4 linked regions of the Drosophila melanogaster genome follow. The protein of the gene in region 4 interacts with the protein of the main gene of each other region in a pairwise test. Each region holds a gene or a part of one and is shown on either strand. Other genes may lie near its edges.

Region 1 (3,715 bases), on a different chromosome or scaffold from region 4:
TGCCCGTGAGAATCTCGAGCGCCGGTAAGCAAATACGCATTCTGTACTTTGACAAGAGTGTAACTATCGATTCATTGCAGCCTCACGGAGCTTCGCACTGAACTGGAGCACCTTCAGGCGGAGAACGCCTCCGAATGGGGCAAGCGCGAGCGACTGGAGTCCGAGAAATTGGCCATGGAGCGTGACAACAAGAAACTGCGCGCAGAACTGCGAGATTATCAGGAACGTTCGGACCGTAAGTGCCGACCCATGCAAGCTAATGACGTGGAGCTGCGAGCATTGCAGCAGGAACTTTCGGAGCGCAACAAGGAGATCAGCGAGGTGAAGATGTCGCACGCCAAGCTAAAGAAGTTGCTGGCCGAAACAAACACAGAGCTGGGACACGCCGTGCGGCGAGCCGAGCAGTATGAGGCGGAGGTGAGTAAATCCACATCCAAAAATCTTATCAGATGATATATGGATCAGATTACGCGTATCAGCTTATCAGCCTAGGAAAACTTAAAGATGTAACAGCCTTCCTCGCCGAACCGAATTCGGTTTGATTAACATTTATTCACATTGACACTTCGACATAAAACAAATTGGTAAATGCAGTACTTTATGATTTTCGAAACAAGTACATTAGTTAGCAAATGCCGCCAGTCCGGTGATGGCTCGGCCCAGGATCAACGCGTGTATATCGTGCGTGCCCTCATAGGTGTTAACTGACTCCAGGTTGATTACATGGCGGATCACATGATATTCGTCGCTGATTCCGTTTGCACCCAGCATGTCCCTCATTTGGCGCGCTATATCAAGCGATTTGCCAGTATTGTTTCGCTTTAGAAGGGAAATCATGTCGGGCGTGTGCAGCTTCTGATCCTTGAGGCGACCCACATGCAGGCAAGCCTGCAGACCCAACGCAATCTCTGTGATGGCATCGGCCAGCTTCTTTTGGATCAACTGATTTGCAGCCAAAGGACGACCGAATTGTTTGCGATCCAGTGTATACTGGCGAGCAATCTCCACGCAGGTTTCAGCTGCTCCCAGGGCTCCCCACGCGATTCCATAGCGAGCGTTGTTCAGACAGCTGAAGGGTCCACTAAAGCCGGCCACATTGGGTAGCAACTGCTCCTCTGGCACACGGACCTCGTCCATCAGGATCATACCCGTGGGCGAAGCACGCAGAGAGAACTTGCCCTCGATCTTTGGCGTCTCCAAACCCTTGCCGGATATCTTGCGATCCACCAGGAAGCCGCGTACCTTGCCATCCTCGCATTTTGCCCATACGACTATGACGTCTGCGATGGGCGCACTAGTAATCCACGTCTTAGATCCGTTCAGGATGTATGTCTTGCTTTTGCTATCGTACTTGGCACGGGTCTCCATGCCAGCGGGGTCACTACCGTGGTTGGGTTCAGTTAGGCCAAAGGCACCTGAATAAATATGTAAAGAAATTGAGATTCGTTTAAAGAGAACACATATAAACTACGGGACTTTATATAATTCACTCAATATTTCATTAAAATATGATTTTATTCATTTGGCACTCACCAATCAGCTTGCCCTCCGCCATGCTGGGCAAATAGCGTTGCTTCTGCTCCTCGGATCCAAAGTCGTAGATGGCGCCCATGGCCAGCGAGCTCTGGACACTGACAGCAGACCGATAAGCGGAGTCCACGCGCTCCACCTCGCGGGTGAGCAAGCCGTAGGCAACGCTAGAGACTCCGGCGCAGCCGTATCCCTTAATGGTGCAGCCGAGGACACCCAGACTGCCGATCTCCTCCATAATTTTCTTGTCGAACGTCTCCAGGCGATTGGCCATCTTGACGCGCGGCTGCAGCTCGGCCTGACAGTATCCACGGAACGCATCCCGAATGGCCACCTCTTCCTCGGTCAATTGGCTCTCCAAATTCAGCGGATCCTGCCAGTTGAATTTGGGAGCTGCGGCTTTGGAGCTCGTGCTGGCCAAGCGGCGGGCACACGGTCGCAGTTTGCTGATTACACTTTGCGCAATCATAATTCCGATTCGGTTCTGTCTTTTCTGTTGGAAGTGATCAGCCGGTTCTCCACGGAACAGCTGCTCGATTCGACGTTCGGCGAGAGACTGAAGAAAGCTTAAATCTACAGCGAGAGCTTTTGGCTGCCCGCTCTTCGCGCGCTCTCTTCGCTCTTCTTCGCCAACTTTGTTTACCTCGCTTTAATATTGTTGTTATGCCCGATCTTAATCTGCGGGTTCTAAATTTTTCGCACTATCGCGCTTATATTTCACTTGACGATAGAAACCAAGAGTGAAGCGAGTGTGGAAGGAAATATTTTTCCATTTTAAGCGTTATCACCACTTGGCGGGGGTCGTCTGCTTATCAGTTGTGTTTGAAGACTGGAAGGCACGCCCCCTTGCTCTTTGTGCTTCGAGTTTTGGGTACAGATGCATCTTATGCGTTCAGAACAAATATGTAATATACCAATCTGAATCCACATATGTAGCTACATCACTACTTTTCTCTATTTTCCTGCAGGTGAAGCGTCTGCGTCAGCGTGTGGAGGAGCTGAAGCGGGAGTTAGCTGGTGCTGAGGACGAACTGGATTCGGCCGTTAACCAAGTGCGCCGCTTGCAGCGTTCCAACGATGAGCTGGTGGGTCAGACGGAAGGATTACAGGTGCAGATTCAGCACCTCCAGAATAGGTAAGATCAGTTCGAAAGAAACATTTAGATTTGCATACCGCTAAGTCTGTGGACTAACTCTAATAACCACTAACTTTTCAACTGGTGCTGGCTTGACTAATAACCTAACTCCTAACCCACGCTTAACCCAACGAAAAAGACGTGCTCCCAGTCCCCAGCTGCGGGGCATGGGCGGGGTGCAATTGAGGAATAAGATTGCCGTGGAGCTGCCCAACGACTGTCTGCCGAATATCAATGATCTTCGCCAGATCTTTGATGACTCGCAGGCAGGTTTGAGGAGCTCCCACAATGGCAGCGATGCCGCTATGCATCATGCTGCTTCCGTAAAGAGATCTAGTCACACGGAACGAACGCTCCTGCAGCAGCAGCAGAGTAGTGCTGCGGCATCTGCAGCGGCGGCGGCAGCGGCAGCAGCTGCTTTTTTTGATGCCAAGCCCACGCATCTGGAGGAGAATATATTTGAGTCGAAGTCACGGAATCTGGAGTTCGAGCGGGCCAAGCAGAAATTCGATAATCCTCACGGACAGCACCATCATCATCACCAGAGGCAGCGATCCGGAAACGGACGTTATGGCAGCGCAGGCAGCAGTGCCAGTCGAGCGAATCTAGCGCTGCCCCTGAAGGGAACCACAAATGGAGGCAGCAGCTCCGTTTCCAGTAAGGATGAGCTAAACCGACAGCTGTACGAGAAGGAGCAGTCTGCAGGCGCTGGATATGCGAGAAACAGCATTAATCTAGATGGTCTCAAGGTGTCCGACGATGAGGTGAGATTAGAGGAGCAGAAACGATTGTTATCACTTGAGTAAACTAATGCTTTGTTAGTTATTGTGTTCATCACATTATTGGTTTGATTTGTTTTAGCATCACTAATCCTTTTACTGCATGTATTGGTTTTACTAATCAATGTATAATTCTAGGTAAATATAATAACTATTTGTGATTTAAATTTCAGACTCCGTAGCTATGGTTCGACAAGCTTGCTGCTGGACGACGAGACGGAGGGTAACAGCGACTAGGATAACCAGACAAAAGACATTTGAGAGACATTAA
Region 2 (2,969 bases), 7.3 Mb from region 4:
CACTTCAAAGCTGCAGCATAGTGACCTTAACTGGTTTTCAAGAGCGGACCGCATTACATGCATTAAATTCAATAAGCCTTCGACGCAGATGGTTTTATTGAAATGTTCCGATCGATGCGTTTCTTTCCGATCGGATGTCTACCCCAATTTTCGTTGATTGGTGTAAAATGGGTCGGACGCGAACGCCTGATCAATTTGGGCCCTTAATGACTTATTACCGGCAGAAAATTGATTACAAAGTGCATATGCTGGAGAGGGATTTAAGAGGAGCCAAGGTGATGCAGAGTAAGCAGCTCCAGTGACGTTTTTCGTTGGTACCAGGCGGGCTCCCACTTGATGGTCATCTAAGTTGCTTACTGGGTGCTTTTGTGTAACTTGTAATTCTTAGATTTTTTCAATATTACGAATTTACTTTAACAATACAATATATAAATATATGTATAATATTTTGATTGACTAATGCCTGCTAATGAGCGAGATCCCTTACAAGACGTAAAGAAAAATGCGTTTCGATTTCTTTCAGCTTACAAATATTCAACAATTTATTTGATCTACAAACGGATTCAACAAATCAGTAGGAGAGTTCCTCAGTGGTGCTGGTGGTAGGCCACTGGGATAGGGGCAGCAGCCACGGCCACAGGAGCCACGGTCTTCACCACGGTCTTCACGTGATCCAGGGGAACGCGGTTGACGACGGCGTTGAAACCGTTGACCGGGTCGGAGGTGTACTGGACAATGCGCTTGTAGCCATCGGAATCGATCAGGGAGTACTCGCCATGGACCACGTCGCCATCACGCTCCTCAACCTGACTCTTCGAGTCTCCGGAAAGGGAGTCCTGGACATCGTAGGCGAACTTGTACTGGGGATGGGGATCGTATTCCTCGGTGGCCTTGGTCAGAACCGGCTGGGCGTGGGCAACGGCGACAGGTGCTTGGGCGTAGGTGGCCACGGCGGGGGCGGCGTGATACACCTGCTGGACGGGAAGAACTCCGGCACTGGCGGCCGAGATGAGGGCGAGAACAGCGAAGAACTGTGGGAGAAAAGAGGGGTAATTGAAAGGATCGGATATTCATGTAAGGATTACCCACCTTGAAGGCCATGGCTCTGGACTTGGAGGAGGGCTGGTGGTGGTTATCCGTTAACTGCTGCGAAGACGGTGAAGCTGTGGAATGATTTACTGGAACACGAGCTTTGCTTTTTATACCCACTGAACGTGTGCAAAGCAAAATGCGAATAACGAATTGAAACTGATTAATTCGCTGTTGGGCAAATCATTTTTGTCACTTTTTATTTTATACATTTATTATTGTATTACCGCTATGCTATTTACCTTATTACTTTATCGACTGGAATATGGGCACTTACAACTGCCCACGCCGGGGGCCAGAGATACTTTTATGCAATCCGCATCCAAATCTAGTGCGGCTTAGTGTCTTGGGAGAGACCCTCGGATTTTGGTGCCTATTGCGAATTAAATGCTTTCACCATTCTGCCTTGAGTGGTATATCATGTTACCGGGCAGCTCAAAACGCTTGGAACTGACCTACACTGATTACATACTTTGAATTGAAAAGCACATTAGACGATAATAATAAATATATTTCAATGCACACTTCAAGAATCAAGAATAAGTTAGTCTGCTTAAAAGCAAACTGATGGATTAAATAAGAGTTTTTACGGATACTAGTCAAATCATGGGAACAATTAAGAAAGCTTTGAAATATGCTTGAACTGAATTTCAATTGAGTTGGTAAAAATATAACTTAATTTCTAAGCCCAAATAAAACCACAATTCAAATTAACATATCAAATCACATTTTATTATCATAGAAACAAAACAAGGGTTCAAAATAACAGCGGTCGCATGGGTGTTTACAATTGGGCGACGGTGTACGCAGGGGCGGTGTACCGCAGAGGCGTGGCATAGGCAGCGGTACGCAGAACGGGAGCGGGAGCAGCCACCGCCAGAGGGGCGGAGCGGACGAACGGAGCGGCAACTGCTAGGGGAGCGGACTTGATCAGAGGAGCAGCGACGGCCACTGGAGCGGAGCGCACAATGGGAGCTGGTGCGGCCAAGGCGACAGGGGCGATGGGGGCGACTGGAGCGGCCTTGACCAATGGGGCAGCAACCTTCAGCAACGGCTCGGCGGCCACAACAGCGGCAAGGGGTTCACGGCGGACGACGGCGTTGAATCCGTTAATGGAATCGGCGGTATAGGTCACGGTGCGCTTAAAGCCATCGGCGTCGATCAGGGAGTACTCGCCGCGGACCACGTCACCATCGCGCTCCTCCACATGCCCCTTGTTGTCGCCGGAAAGCGTGTCCTGCACGTCGTAGCTGTAGGTGTACTGAGGATGCGGATCAACCTCCTCCAACTCAACGGTCTTGGCCAAAACTGGCACCGGAGCAGAAGCCACTGCCACTGGAGCAGCAGTTCTAAGGACGGCGCCATGGGCCACGGCGAACAGAGCCAAAGCGATAACAATCTGCGGAATAAATTACACTCTTTTTAGGATTTTTTTTTCCAAGATAAAAAGGCGAAGGCAGTCTGGTAATCCACTAGTAGTCCCCCGGAACGTTTATCCTCCAATTGGTAGCACAAACCTTTGCTGCCATTGTAGTTGGATGAATTTGATTAACTGCTGTCTTGAGCCGAAGCCAAACACTGAATGTCTGACCCATTGTGGGCCGTTTATTTTATACGCTACTTGGTGACATTGATGACACCTAATTGGAATTCATTTTTGGCGCATCACCTCGAGCGGCGCCGGTGGCATGTAAAAATTGTCACGCACCTTCTTCAGTTCTGCCAATTTCGATCGGTCGAAATAACCAGCTGCACTTAATTGATTACGCCAAGCCAATTTTAATTACTATTTTCCTTAAACTTGGAGTCTTCTTATTCAATTTTGTTGTTTTTCTTTTGGAAAGTACAACAAAGTAAGTGTGTATAATTGAACCCATTTT
Region 3 (4,927 bases), on a different chromosome or scaffold from region 4:
CAATGGGCACACGAATGAAGAAGAAGAGCCAGCCACCGCGTACACGCACACACTGTACAGAGCGAGCGCGCGTATTTTTTCGACTCTGCGCGTGCCTGTGTATATGTATGTGTGCGGCTTTAATTTTATTTAATTCTTAGCTTTGATTCTTAACATTCGTATTGTGCTTCCCTTGATTTGCACAATTATGAAACCGCCGCAGTATGTTTCTCGAAACAAATCACAAAAGTTCGCCAGAAACAACAATAATCAAGACAATAATTCCGACGCAGTAGGAAAATTTATAAGAAACGAGACGCTGTATGTGTCTGTTATTTTTTATGCCCTCTTATTTTTCTAGGAACTGGCTCACACTCATACGTTGTACTACATTAATTTGACTAATGAAAACAATCGGTTAAATACTTTGAACACAACACGGAGGGAGAATACACTTATTTTTATTCCGATTTAGATTTTATGTAATTTATTTGGCCTTTTGTGGAGTATTATTTAATCGCACCACTACAGCACTACATCACACGAACTTGGGGCGTCGTGTATTTGCCTGTGTATGTATATCAATGCCAGCGCGCTATGGGTGTGTGTGTGTGCGTAGTCGAACGCCGCGTGCACGAAGCGACTGGTTTGAAATCCAATAAGAAACTATGGTCGGGCGAGACTTTGACTTCCAAGCATTTGGCTCGAGCAGCGAAACCGATGGGAGACGAGCGCCACCCGAGAGAACTCTCTTTGGCGTTGCCGCCCCCGCCAAGCTAACCCTCGGCGCTCTCAGTTAAATGGGGCCAAAGCAGCGCAGTCGTGTCGCCGCTGGCGTCACAATTTTTTTTACAAGGCGAACAAGTTGCGCGCCACTTTTGAGAGCGTAATTGTTGCACTGTAATTGTTTGCCAGTGACTTTTTATAAATAAACACGACGGGGCAAAGCGAAAACAAGTTTCAGTCGAAATCCACACAACTACATAAGGCCAAAGAGAGCGCACGCTCTTTTTGAAGAGAGAGAGTGAGAGAGAGAGAGAGAGAGAGAGAGAGAGGGGAGACGACCGCATTCCTAACTGTAAACAAGCAAGAAGCGGAGACACTATAAAAGTGGGAAAGAGACAAGGCGACAGGCTAAGAATGCGGCGCTGCTGGAAAAACTCGTTTTTCCCGCTGGAAAAGGAAAATATGGATAAAAAAGAATTCGAGGAATTTTCGTGCGAAAGAGAAAGAGAAGTGGTGTAAAAATAAACAAGAATCCGAACCCGATTACGAATACATACACAGGGCAACGAAGGAAGAGAATTGGAATAGCTGAAAAACAGAGCGGACAAAACAAAATGCTTGAAAAGCGAAGGGGCAGCTCAAAGCGGACAAGCTGATACGTAGTAAAACATACCAACGACGGCAACTTCAAATGTAAATAAGTATATAAACGAGGTATGTAAGCGGATGAGTGTGTGCAACAACAACAGTAAACCTAATGACAACAAACCGAGCAACAGACATGCAAGTGAAAGGCCTTTGCGTTGTTTCCCATCCACTACTCAAGTTATTTGCAAAATAAAAACAGCTAAAAGAAGACAAAGTGATGAACTCGGATCGGGAGAGAGAGGGGCATAATTTTACTTTTGGCTGCTTGCAAGAGAAAATAAAATAAATAATTCATTTATTGGTTGCTGCTAATAGATAGCAATTAAAAGTAAAAGAAACCACAATAAATTGTTGTTTAGAAACCAGCTGGAATCATTGTGTTTTTTTGCTGTGAATTTTTGTTGTTGTTTTTAAAGTATCAAGCAATTTGCGAGGCAATGAACTGCAGTTGTTAAATAAATTTAGTCAACCCCTGCGGCTTCATTAAACTTTTTTATGCATTTTATTTTCGTTGTCGGGTGCCTGCAAAATAATTATACACATCCACTGCCTATTTATGTCGAGTAATATAAGCATCTGAAAATGTATTCATAATCAACTCCATCTAGATAGCTTTTAAAGTGGTTGTTATACAGACAGTCGTTGAATTATCTTATTTTATTGCCCACTTAGTGAGGAGTTTATGGCTTTGATCTTTATATATTATACCAGCATGTGTTGTCAATGGAAATTTTTTAGATGAAATGTACGGAAATATTTAAATTTATTGGTAACAAGAATTGCAAAAAGTAAAAATACTTTTTTTTTTTGCTATATAGCTCAAACATTAAATTTCACAGCTTTATGAGTATTTCATTATTTCATGTCAATAAATTATTTTGCAGCTTTTGTATTTTGTAAACAAAAATTTGTACAACCAATTCAATTTTTTTTTCCAAGAACAATTTTGTGTAATTTAACGATAAAATTGATGGGAGGTATTTTCTCGAAAGCATTACTTGTAGTTTGTAAAAAAAGTTTTACTAAATTATTTTAATTAAAAACAACTTTAACAAATTGTACTTTCGCATTACCCCATATCTATGCTATAAACTTATTTTTTAACACCTTAACAAGTCTCATAAGCCTCATAAGATATATTCACTTAATCAAAATTTAAATAAATATAAGTATATATGTATCAGGGCCAAACACCGCACCTTTTTAAGACACTATTTACCTTGATAGACTTTATTTTGCGCACAACGTAGTTGTTAATTTTGTTGGACCAGCTTTTACATTTCATGATATTTTTCGCGTTCTCCGCCGTTCTCGGGGAGGATGAAGAGGCAAAGACAACGGTAAACGGATTGCTTTCGTCACTTGAAGTTGCTGCCCTCACTCATTTCAGTTTCATTTCGTTTTACCGGTTTTTGTAATATTTTTTTATTTGCTTCACTTTGCGATATTTATTCACTTGAGTTTTCACCGCCCGGCGACAGTTGCAAAACCTTTGTGATTGCAAATGGTAATTATACGTATACACGAAGACTCGGGTCTTACTCGCATTTCTTTTTGGCGCGATAAAAGGAAAATTGGACGTTGTGGTTTTTCCAACAGGGCGTCAAATTTGTATCCGTGATTACGACCGAACCCGTCAAATTTCCGATTCGAAATGAGTCGAAAAGGCGAAAGAAAAGGCAAGGAGAGCGCGCTAAACTGGGAACGGCGGCATTGGGCCACAGTTACCAAATCGTGAGCGCGGAGAACTGGAAGAGAGATAGAGAGTTATGGGGTAAAAAAGAGTGCGGAGAAGTGTAAGAATTTTCATTTGAGTTTTAATCGACACATGAATAATGGGAAAATTATGTTATTTTTTATTAAGTTAGCTTTAAATTTATATTTTTGTATTCTTTTTTAAATAATTAGTTTTTAACGGGTTTTGTTTGTTTTTCTTTGATTTTGCGTATATATTGCATCTGTTGAAACACGTTATTGTCACCCTAATGTTGGATAGCTATTAAATTTGGGTATTTCTGGAACTTTCTTGAATTATTTGCAGGTCTTTCGAAAAAACAGTTATGCATATCCTATTCATTTCACCGATTTGCAAGTCACGGTTCCGTTATTGCCGCGAGTGGGCAAGCTATTTGCGTTTTCTTTTACATTTCGAATGCGCCGCCCATTAATTATTTATTTATTAATGAGTAAGTGACGCACTTGTTTTCATCCACTTATTTGTTGTTACTGCAACGAATCTTGCTTACATTTACATACATACATACATAGGTACATAATTCCATCAAGATCATGCATCAGTGCCACGCCCCCATCTATAAAATGAAATTGTGGACAACGTCGCTGTCGTAAACTTCCAAGGCAATTATGTATGTATGTATGTGTACAAATGTGCATTTTCTGGAATTTAAACTATTCCCGCTCTCTTCGCGCACGGATCGTTCGTTGATCCGCACTCTGGGTTCCACATTAGCATAAGTGTAAGGCCTTCTACACAAACGCGTTCCACAATTCATTCACATCGCCTGTTCCACAACTTTCCGGCGTTCCGTCACGTTCGCGCGCCTTTTCCACCCAGCGTGAAAAAATTCACTTGCTGCTCCCGCTCCCGCTCACGGTTTTATTCTCGTTTTTACGTTTTACTACGAAGCGAAAACAAAACAAAATTAAGGGGAAGCGGAAACTGCAGTTGCTTTGGCTTTGCTGACGTGGATGCCGACGCTTTCGTCATCAAGTTTTTCTCTCACTTTGTTTTTTTTTCTCTTTAAGAAATATTGTAAATATTAGTTCTGTTCCTGTTATGGTTTTTTATCTTGTTAAGAAATATTGTAAATATTAGTTCTATTCCTGTTATTTTCTATATTTGGTTGAGTTTCCATTTATGTATTATTTAAATTTCCTAGCTTAATTTGTTTAAAGACTTACTTGTGAATTGCTGCGTAGTTTAAATAACACAGTTTAATAAACACATTTAATATTCAAAGACCTTATCAATTAGCAATATAAGTAATATTTCTTTAGTTTTTGTGTACTTGTGATAAGCACTCATTCAAACTGAACGGCGTTTAGGCTCAAATAAATCTATGAAAATTACAATTCGTCTTCATCGAATGAACTTTGACTGCATATTTTAGAAATGGTCGCGAATTTTCTTCTTACCTATTTTATTTTATATAATAATCAAATTCAATTTAATTTGTCTCACCCTTAGCGAGTTCGGTGGCTTAGTTAAAATCGTTTTTATTTGGCCTCTGCTTTTAGCATTTTGTGGCTAATTTATTTCTTGCTTTCTGCTAAAAAATATTTGAAATTAGCATTTTTAATGGGCAGCAATCGAGGTTCGGCGAGACACAATGTCGCCTGAAAAATATTTTTAAAATCCCATTTGCATATATTTTCAGCCAAGCGCTTAGTATAAAAAGCTAATTTCACGAAATCCCAGCTGATTTAGTCATCAACGGTGGGCTGTGCACCAGTTTCTTTCTAATTGCTGGACTTCCCCCCGCTTGGAAGCTAAGCTTGGCAGACGAACCGGTTCGGAACCCTCGGAGCTCTCATTTAGTTGCCCATTATTAAA
Region 4 (5,644 bases):
TGAAGTACCTGATTGAGGATGCTGAAGCCGATGCCGATTGGAAGCGAAACGCGGGTGGTATAATCTCTGTGCGCAATGTCGATGTTGTGGATGAGCTGCTGGCCAAATTGGCCGAGCAATGAGTGTTGTTATTATGTTATTTGTTGTAAACCCATTATTGCTGTTGTAATTGATTTGATGTAATTGCACTACGAGTCAGTCGAATTTGTAGGCATAGAAACTACTACAAGAAAATTTGCTAATAAATGAAACCGGCGAACGTGTAAAACATTCATTTAAATTAAGTAACAATCTACAAAAGGATTATAGCTGCTGTTTGGAAGTACGAATGCCACCACATCTGGGGTTAGCTAGAATTGTCCGTATCCCATAATAAAAAATAGATAACAAATAACAAGAATGGATGATATTTCTTCTCTCTTCTCTTAAGTGTAGCCTACTTATTGGAGTTTCTGTGCGGTAAAAACAAATTCTAGTCAATGAAACAAATTAAAGAAATTCTGTATGAACGATCAACATCTTTATATGGTGTCAAGTCTCTTAGTCGAATCACTCTGTGCTGGAATAAATGTAAGCGAATAATTGTCAAAATCATGTTCGAAAATACACTGTGGTCGAAACTTATATCGAATATCGAAATAATGTTTGAACATACACTTTTGGTGTACACTTAATGCTAAAGTCATATGAAGGAATGCGAGTTCTTAAGTTAAATTATGCAACTGGTGTGTTTAGAATAGTCTCCATATCCGGAATTGTAATGAGACGAGTATCGGGTTCAGGGCCTTTCTTAACTCCGCATAAGAATCGAATCTTACGCACAAGAAACTGCTCCAGAGCCGCAAAATTCTTTGATTTGTCGAAGCCTGCAACGAAGTGTTTATTAATGGTGATCCGGGCAAAAATTGAATGCGATTATGCGCATACCATTTATATAGCACTTTGTGACATTGACGGCAATTAGCAAATCCTGTGAAATCGGTTTCACGTGTCTCACGGCCACATATTCCGTATTTCCAAAATCGCAGAATAGAATTTTGACCATATTGTCCTTAACCTCCTGGCAGACTCCGCGATACCAGTTCTTATCTTCGCTGTAGATCGCCAGGCACAGTTCACCAACGCTGCAATTGGGATAAAGTGCGTGTTAAGAAAAGGACAAGCAAATATCGAAAGCGCATTACTTTGGTACGTAACCCGGAACAACATTGTGGTCACATGCTCCCTGACTTGATGTCAAGCTAAGGATTTTTTCAAATTCCTTGGCCGCCTTTTCGTCCTTGAAGTAGGCGGCGGTGATGTAGCCAGTTTGCGGCAATCCGTCAGCGTTCATAAGGATTAGGTTGACCTTGTCGCCTAAAGGAGCTAGATTCTTGGGCAAAGCGTCGAAAAGGAAGCGTTTAATGGGCAGAACGTGGGAAGCTGACTTTGTACTTGTCACGTCGGCAGGAAAAGGCGACTCCGGTGGAGAGGGCGGCAGTGGAGGCAGATCCAGCAGAAGTAGAGACTGTGGAGACACCTTCTGCTGTTTGTGAGTTACAACAGGCAATTGACTCGGAGTAGAAGCAGCCTTCGGTGGTGCAACTTCTGCTTTTTCCTGTACCGGTGTAAATATAAGAGGCAACATTTGGGTCGTCAAGGAGCGCGAATCGCCGGAGCTGAACAGCAGGTCCACGGTCGATGTAGTTGCATCTACCATGTTCAATTTTAGCAGTTCTTTTTGGGCGCAGAGCTTGTGCAGCATTTGAATGGCCGCATTGTTAACTGGCACAGCTGCATCCGGAATATTGCAGACATTCTGCAACTGTACACGCATCAGACATACGGGCAAATTCTCCAGGAAGCGACAGGAGCTGCGTATTTCCGCCAACTCCACCTTTTGGGTGGCACCAGTATCAACGTTCATTACTTCGAACAATCCACTATCCTTACTCAATATCTGTAAAATTCGAAAAGTTCATAGACTTTACTGATTGAAACCCTGCAACATAAATATCGACAAACCTCGCCCCGGAAGTGACCCATCTGCTTGGAGACAACGAGCACGATGCTGCCAACGGAAACATCACTAGATTTGGTAATGGTAGCGCACTTGTACTCCAGGCGCTTGAAAATTTCCGCATACTGCTTGGCGTCTGGAGTGCTGATGTATACCTCCTTAAAGCTGACCAAGTGGGAAATGAATACGATGGAATCATGGACGATGGGTTCACGCCAGTACTTGTGGCCTAAATATGAAATCTGACCCAAGAAAGTGATCAGACGGGCCATACATATCTGCTCGCCCTTGGAATTCAAGGCGGCATTCGCCGCGCGTAACTTTTCCTTGGGCGGCTTATTATCCAGCTTAAACTTGACCGTGAGTTCTGCACCTTGAGTCTCAAGCTCCTCGGGTACGGAGTCCTCCAGCTGAGCGGCAAACACTCGACTGGGCAGGCCAAGTAGTTCGCTGGGAATACGACTCAGATCGGTGGCTATGGACACTCTACCCTCGTCCATTTCGTAAACCAAATAGGTTGGCCTCGGTTTCATGATATGATCCAATAGGAAAGCTCGCCGATAACCATTTTTAGTGCGGGTGGCCGCAAAGAAGATGGATTTCTGCTCGGGGAAGGGCAGCGTGAATGGCTGTCTTGGCTTCTCGGCTATGCGGTTGTTTAAGTCTGCGTTGACATGGCCCATCACGTTGATCTGGAGTAGGGCCAGCTGCGGTTCGTTATGCTTTGGATTTGCCTTAAAGACCCGGATGACTTTGACTTCTGGATTAAGCTGCAGCATCTCCAAGGGCAAACTTAGTGGTATTATCATCTTGGGCTTTAGATGGACGTGATAAGCTCCGTCGCTGGTTTTGGTTCCCAACATACGGAGCGTCAAGTTCTTAATGTCCTGAACTCCAGTGTTCGTGGGCAATTGAACACGGAAAGCGAACGCCTTGCTTTCGGCCATCTTGGGCACAATGGTGTAGATATCCCGAAACGGTGTAGCTACTATCTGACCGTGGTCAATCATACGGACATTGGCTTCTTGCTTCTTTTGGCAAACCGTCAAAACATGACCGCGATGGACCTTGTCGCCCACACTGATGGCCACGAGGGTGTCCTCCCGCACTCCTTCCATACGAATCATCTTCTTATTCTGCATGCAGCGCTGCATGTTGACCGTCATTCGCTCAATGGCCTCCACATTCGCCACGTGCACCACCCAAATGGGTCCATCGTTCTCCATGAAAGTCACGCGGCACTTGAAAAACTCCATGCCCGACGGCAGCAAATGTTTGCGCCAGTTTTCCGATAGATCCGGCTTGTTCGGCACAGCAACTGTGGGCTCCACACATGGGATTGGCGATTTAGTGCGAGTTTTAGCCAGAGCAACTTGGTTCTCTACGCTCTGGATTGGATTCAACGCCGGTTGAAGAGGCCGGCACTCCACCAAGGGTCTGGAAACGCATTTGTATTGTATAAGAATTAAAAACCCCTAACTTAATGCACTGCTGCGCAACGGATTTACTAATTTAACTCACGGCATAATGATGCACACCTGCCTGTGCCTCTGCCAATCCAATTTCTGGCACTTTTCATTGCAGTACGGTTCTCCACACCGCTGGCACATCAATCTGGTCGGAGTGCCACAGACGACGCATGTCTTTTCCTCCGACTTTTCCATTTCTTCAATTCAAAGTAACAACGCAAGAACGTGTGAATGAAAGAACGGCGCGTTAAAGGAAACGCAGCAAAATGGCGCTAACAGAACTTTTAGCACGCGATGAAATACAAAGTGAAAATCTATTTACGCTGGACGAGAACTTTCTATGTTTTCGTTTTGAAAAAGGTGGAATCCTTTAGAATTTAAGTGCGCGATTCACAACTCACAAACATGCGATACGTTCACTAAACGCGTTTAAATTCGAAGCTCGCTGGGCACGCGCTTCAGTGCATTGAACGAACGTGGGAAGAAAGAGAACAGGACGATATCGATATCGGTTGGTTTTCGATTTACAGCGCACTGATGGAAGTAAACTTGATCGTTAATTAAAAAAGGAAAAATAAGGCTTACGAAGTTTTTAAACTTTAATTAAAACGACACAACATATGCTAAATATTCTACATATTCCAGTTACAATCAATTTCGCCAAGCCATTTTCATGGAAGTTGAATACTCTTTGAACCTGTTTGAATATATCTGAAAACGCAAATCTACTTTGTGTTATTATTTTGCCAATATAGGCAATATTATTTGAAAATTAACCGCAAGTCCATTGACGACCGCAATTCAGAATAAGAACGTAGCGTAATTTTCCCATCTTCAAATATTGTTTTTCCTAAACTTACCGATTTTAACACTTTTTAGTTTTAAAAACGTTTGTGGTTAATCCGCAAGGAATTTGTGACAGTGAAAAAATAACCGCTTTGTACGCGCACGTGTTGCCAACAAACACTTCAGCTTTTGTCAGTGACTGGATTCTAATTTAAATTTATCGATAACGTATGCAATTCTTATTCGAACAATATAGTTATTTCTAAAAACTGTGTCACGGAATTTCTTTTTGTAATTATTACCTATATAAATATATATTTATACAAATATTTATAACATTTGTGTTTTAATTGTCATGCCCCTTTAGTTTTTTTTACGCTAGAAACTTAGCTACTTCCTAGGTCGAGAGCTGGCCACACTCTTGGCATGTCTTAGTTATCGATAATTCCCGCCACTTCTGAGCATTGAGTATATTTTGCGAACTATTTGTTTACCAATTGAATATTTTGATAATCAGGGCCCCCAGTGAAGTGGCAAGCGTCATGAGTGCCAGCAACAAAGGCGGTTACAAGACGCCGCGGAAGGAGAACCTCATGTCCATTGAGAACCTCACCAATTCGGAGGAGGAATCCGAGGACTTGAACACGGCAATGGTTGGGAATGCAGTGGAATCTCAGCCCAAGGTCACCAGTCGGCGTTCCACCCGACGTCCAAGTCCCACCAAGAAATACCAGGCGTACCAGAAGGAAAGCAATGGAAAAGGCCAGGAAGAGCGAATTGTTGTGAACTATGTGGAAATGTCCGATGAACGGAGCAGCGATGCGGAGGATCAGGAAGAAGAAGAAAGCATCGAGGAGTCGGAAAATGCTGCCCGTCCCGCTGCCAAGGATCTGCATCTCATCCAATCCGAGTACAATGTGGCCGGCACCAGCATGTTTGGCTTCAATACGCCCAAGAAACGCGATGCCATGGCACTGGCCGCCCTAAATGCCACGCCCTGCACGCCCAAGACCCCAAAAACGCCGCGTTTGGGTGTCAAGACGCCGGATACGAAGCGCAAGAAGTCCATGGATCAGCCAAAGACTCCCGCCCATGTGCGCACCCGCGTCAAGAAGCGTGGGTAGCCTTTTTCTGCGTCCTTTTACCATTTTTTCCATTATTTATAAATTCATTATCACTTTCAGAGATTGCCAAAATAGTGGCCGACTCAGATGAGGATTTTTCTGGAGATGAAAGCGATTTCCGGCCCAGTGACGAGGAATCCTCCTCCAGCAGCAGTAGCAGCGATGCTGGCAACTCCTCTGACAACGACGCCGCCGATGATGAGCCCAAAACGCCCAGTAGAGCCCGCCGTGCCATTGTAGTCCCCGTTCTGCCGAAAACTCCATCG

What was found.
Region 1: the proteins of Kots (region 4) and CG9547 interact in a two-hybrid assay, tested with the Drosophila melanogaster proteins (one large-scale study listed by BioGRID).
Region 2: the proteins of Kots (region 4) and Ccp84Af interact in a two-hybrid assay, tested with the Drosophila melanogaster proteins (one large-scale study listed by BioGRID).
Region 3: the proteins of Kots (region 4) and Pdk1 interact in a two-hybrid assay, tested with the Drosophila melanogaster proteins (one large-scale study listed by BioGRID).

Annotation. Positions count from the first base shown.
Region 1 is NT_033779.5:6,492,440-6,496,154, forward strand, and holds CG9547 (uncharacterized protein), read right to left. Parts: upstream 2,094-3,715; 5' UTR 2,000-2,093; coding exon 1,534-1,999; intron 1,416-1,533; coding exon 622-1,415; 3' UTR 535-621; downstream 1-534. Other genes in the region: CG31638 (uncharacterized protein), read left to right, coding at 1-24, 81-417, 2,499-2,665, 2,805-3,429, 3,618-3,626.
Region 2 is NT_033777.3:6,689,086-6,692,054, forward strand, and holds Ccp84Af (Ccp84Af), read right to left. Parts: upstream 1,155-2,969; 5' UTR 1,102-1,154; coding exon 1,090-1,101; intron 1,032-1,089; coding exon 588-1,031; 3' UTR 517-587; downstream 1-516. Other genes in the region: Ccp84Ae, read right to left, coding at 1,874-2,488, 2,607-2,618.
Region 3 is NT_037436.4:127,534-132,460, reverse strand, and holds the start of Pdk1 (Phosphoinositide-dependent kinase 1), read right to left. Parts: upstream 3,012-4,927; 5' UTR 2,639-3,011; coding exon 2,573-2,638; intron 1,732-2,572; exon of another isoform or gene 890-1,731; intron 650-889; exon of another isoform or gene 1-649.
Region 4 is NT_033777.3:13,960,212-13,965,855, forward strand, and holds Kots (kotsubu), read right to left. Parts: upstream 3,964-5,644; 5' UTR 3,664-3,963; coding exon 3,521-3,663; intron 3,437-3,520; coding exon 2,005-3,436; intron 1,940-2,004; coding exon 1,185-1,939; intron 1,125-1,184; coding exon 928-1,124; intron 867-927; coding exon 715-866; 3' UTR 501-714; downstream 1-500. Other genes in the region: Ipp (inositol polyphosphate 1-phosphatase), read left to right, coding at 1-122; Orc2 (origin recognition complex subunit 2), read left to right, coding at 4,797-5,370, 5,439-5,644.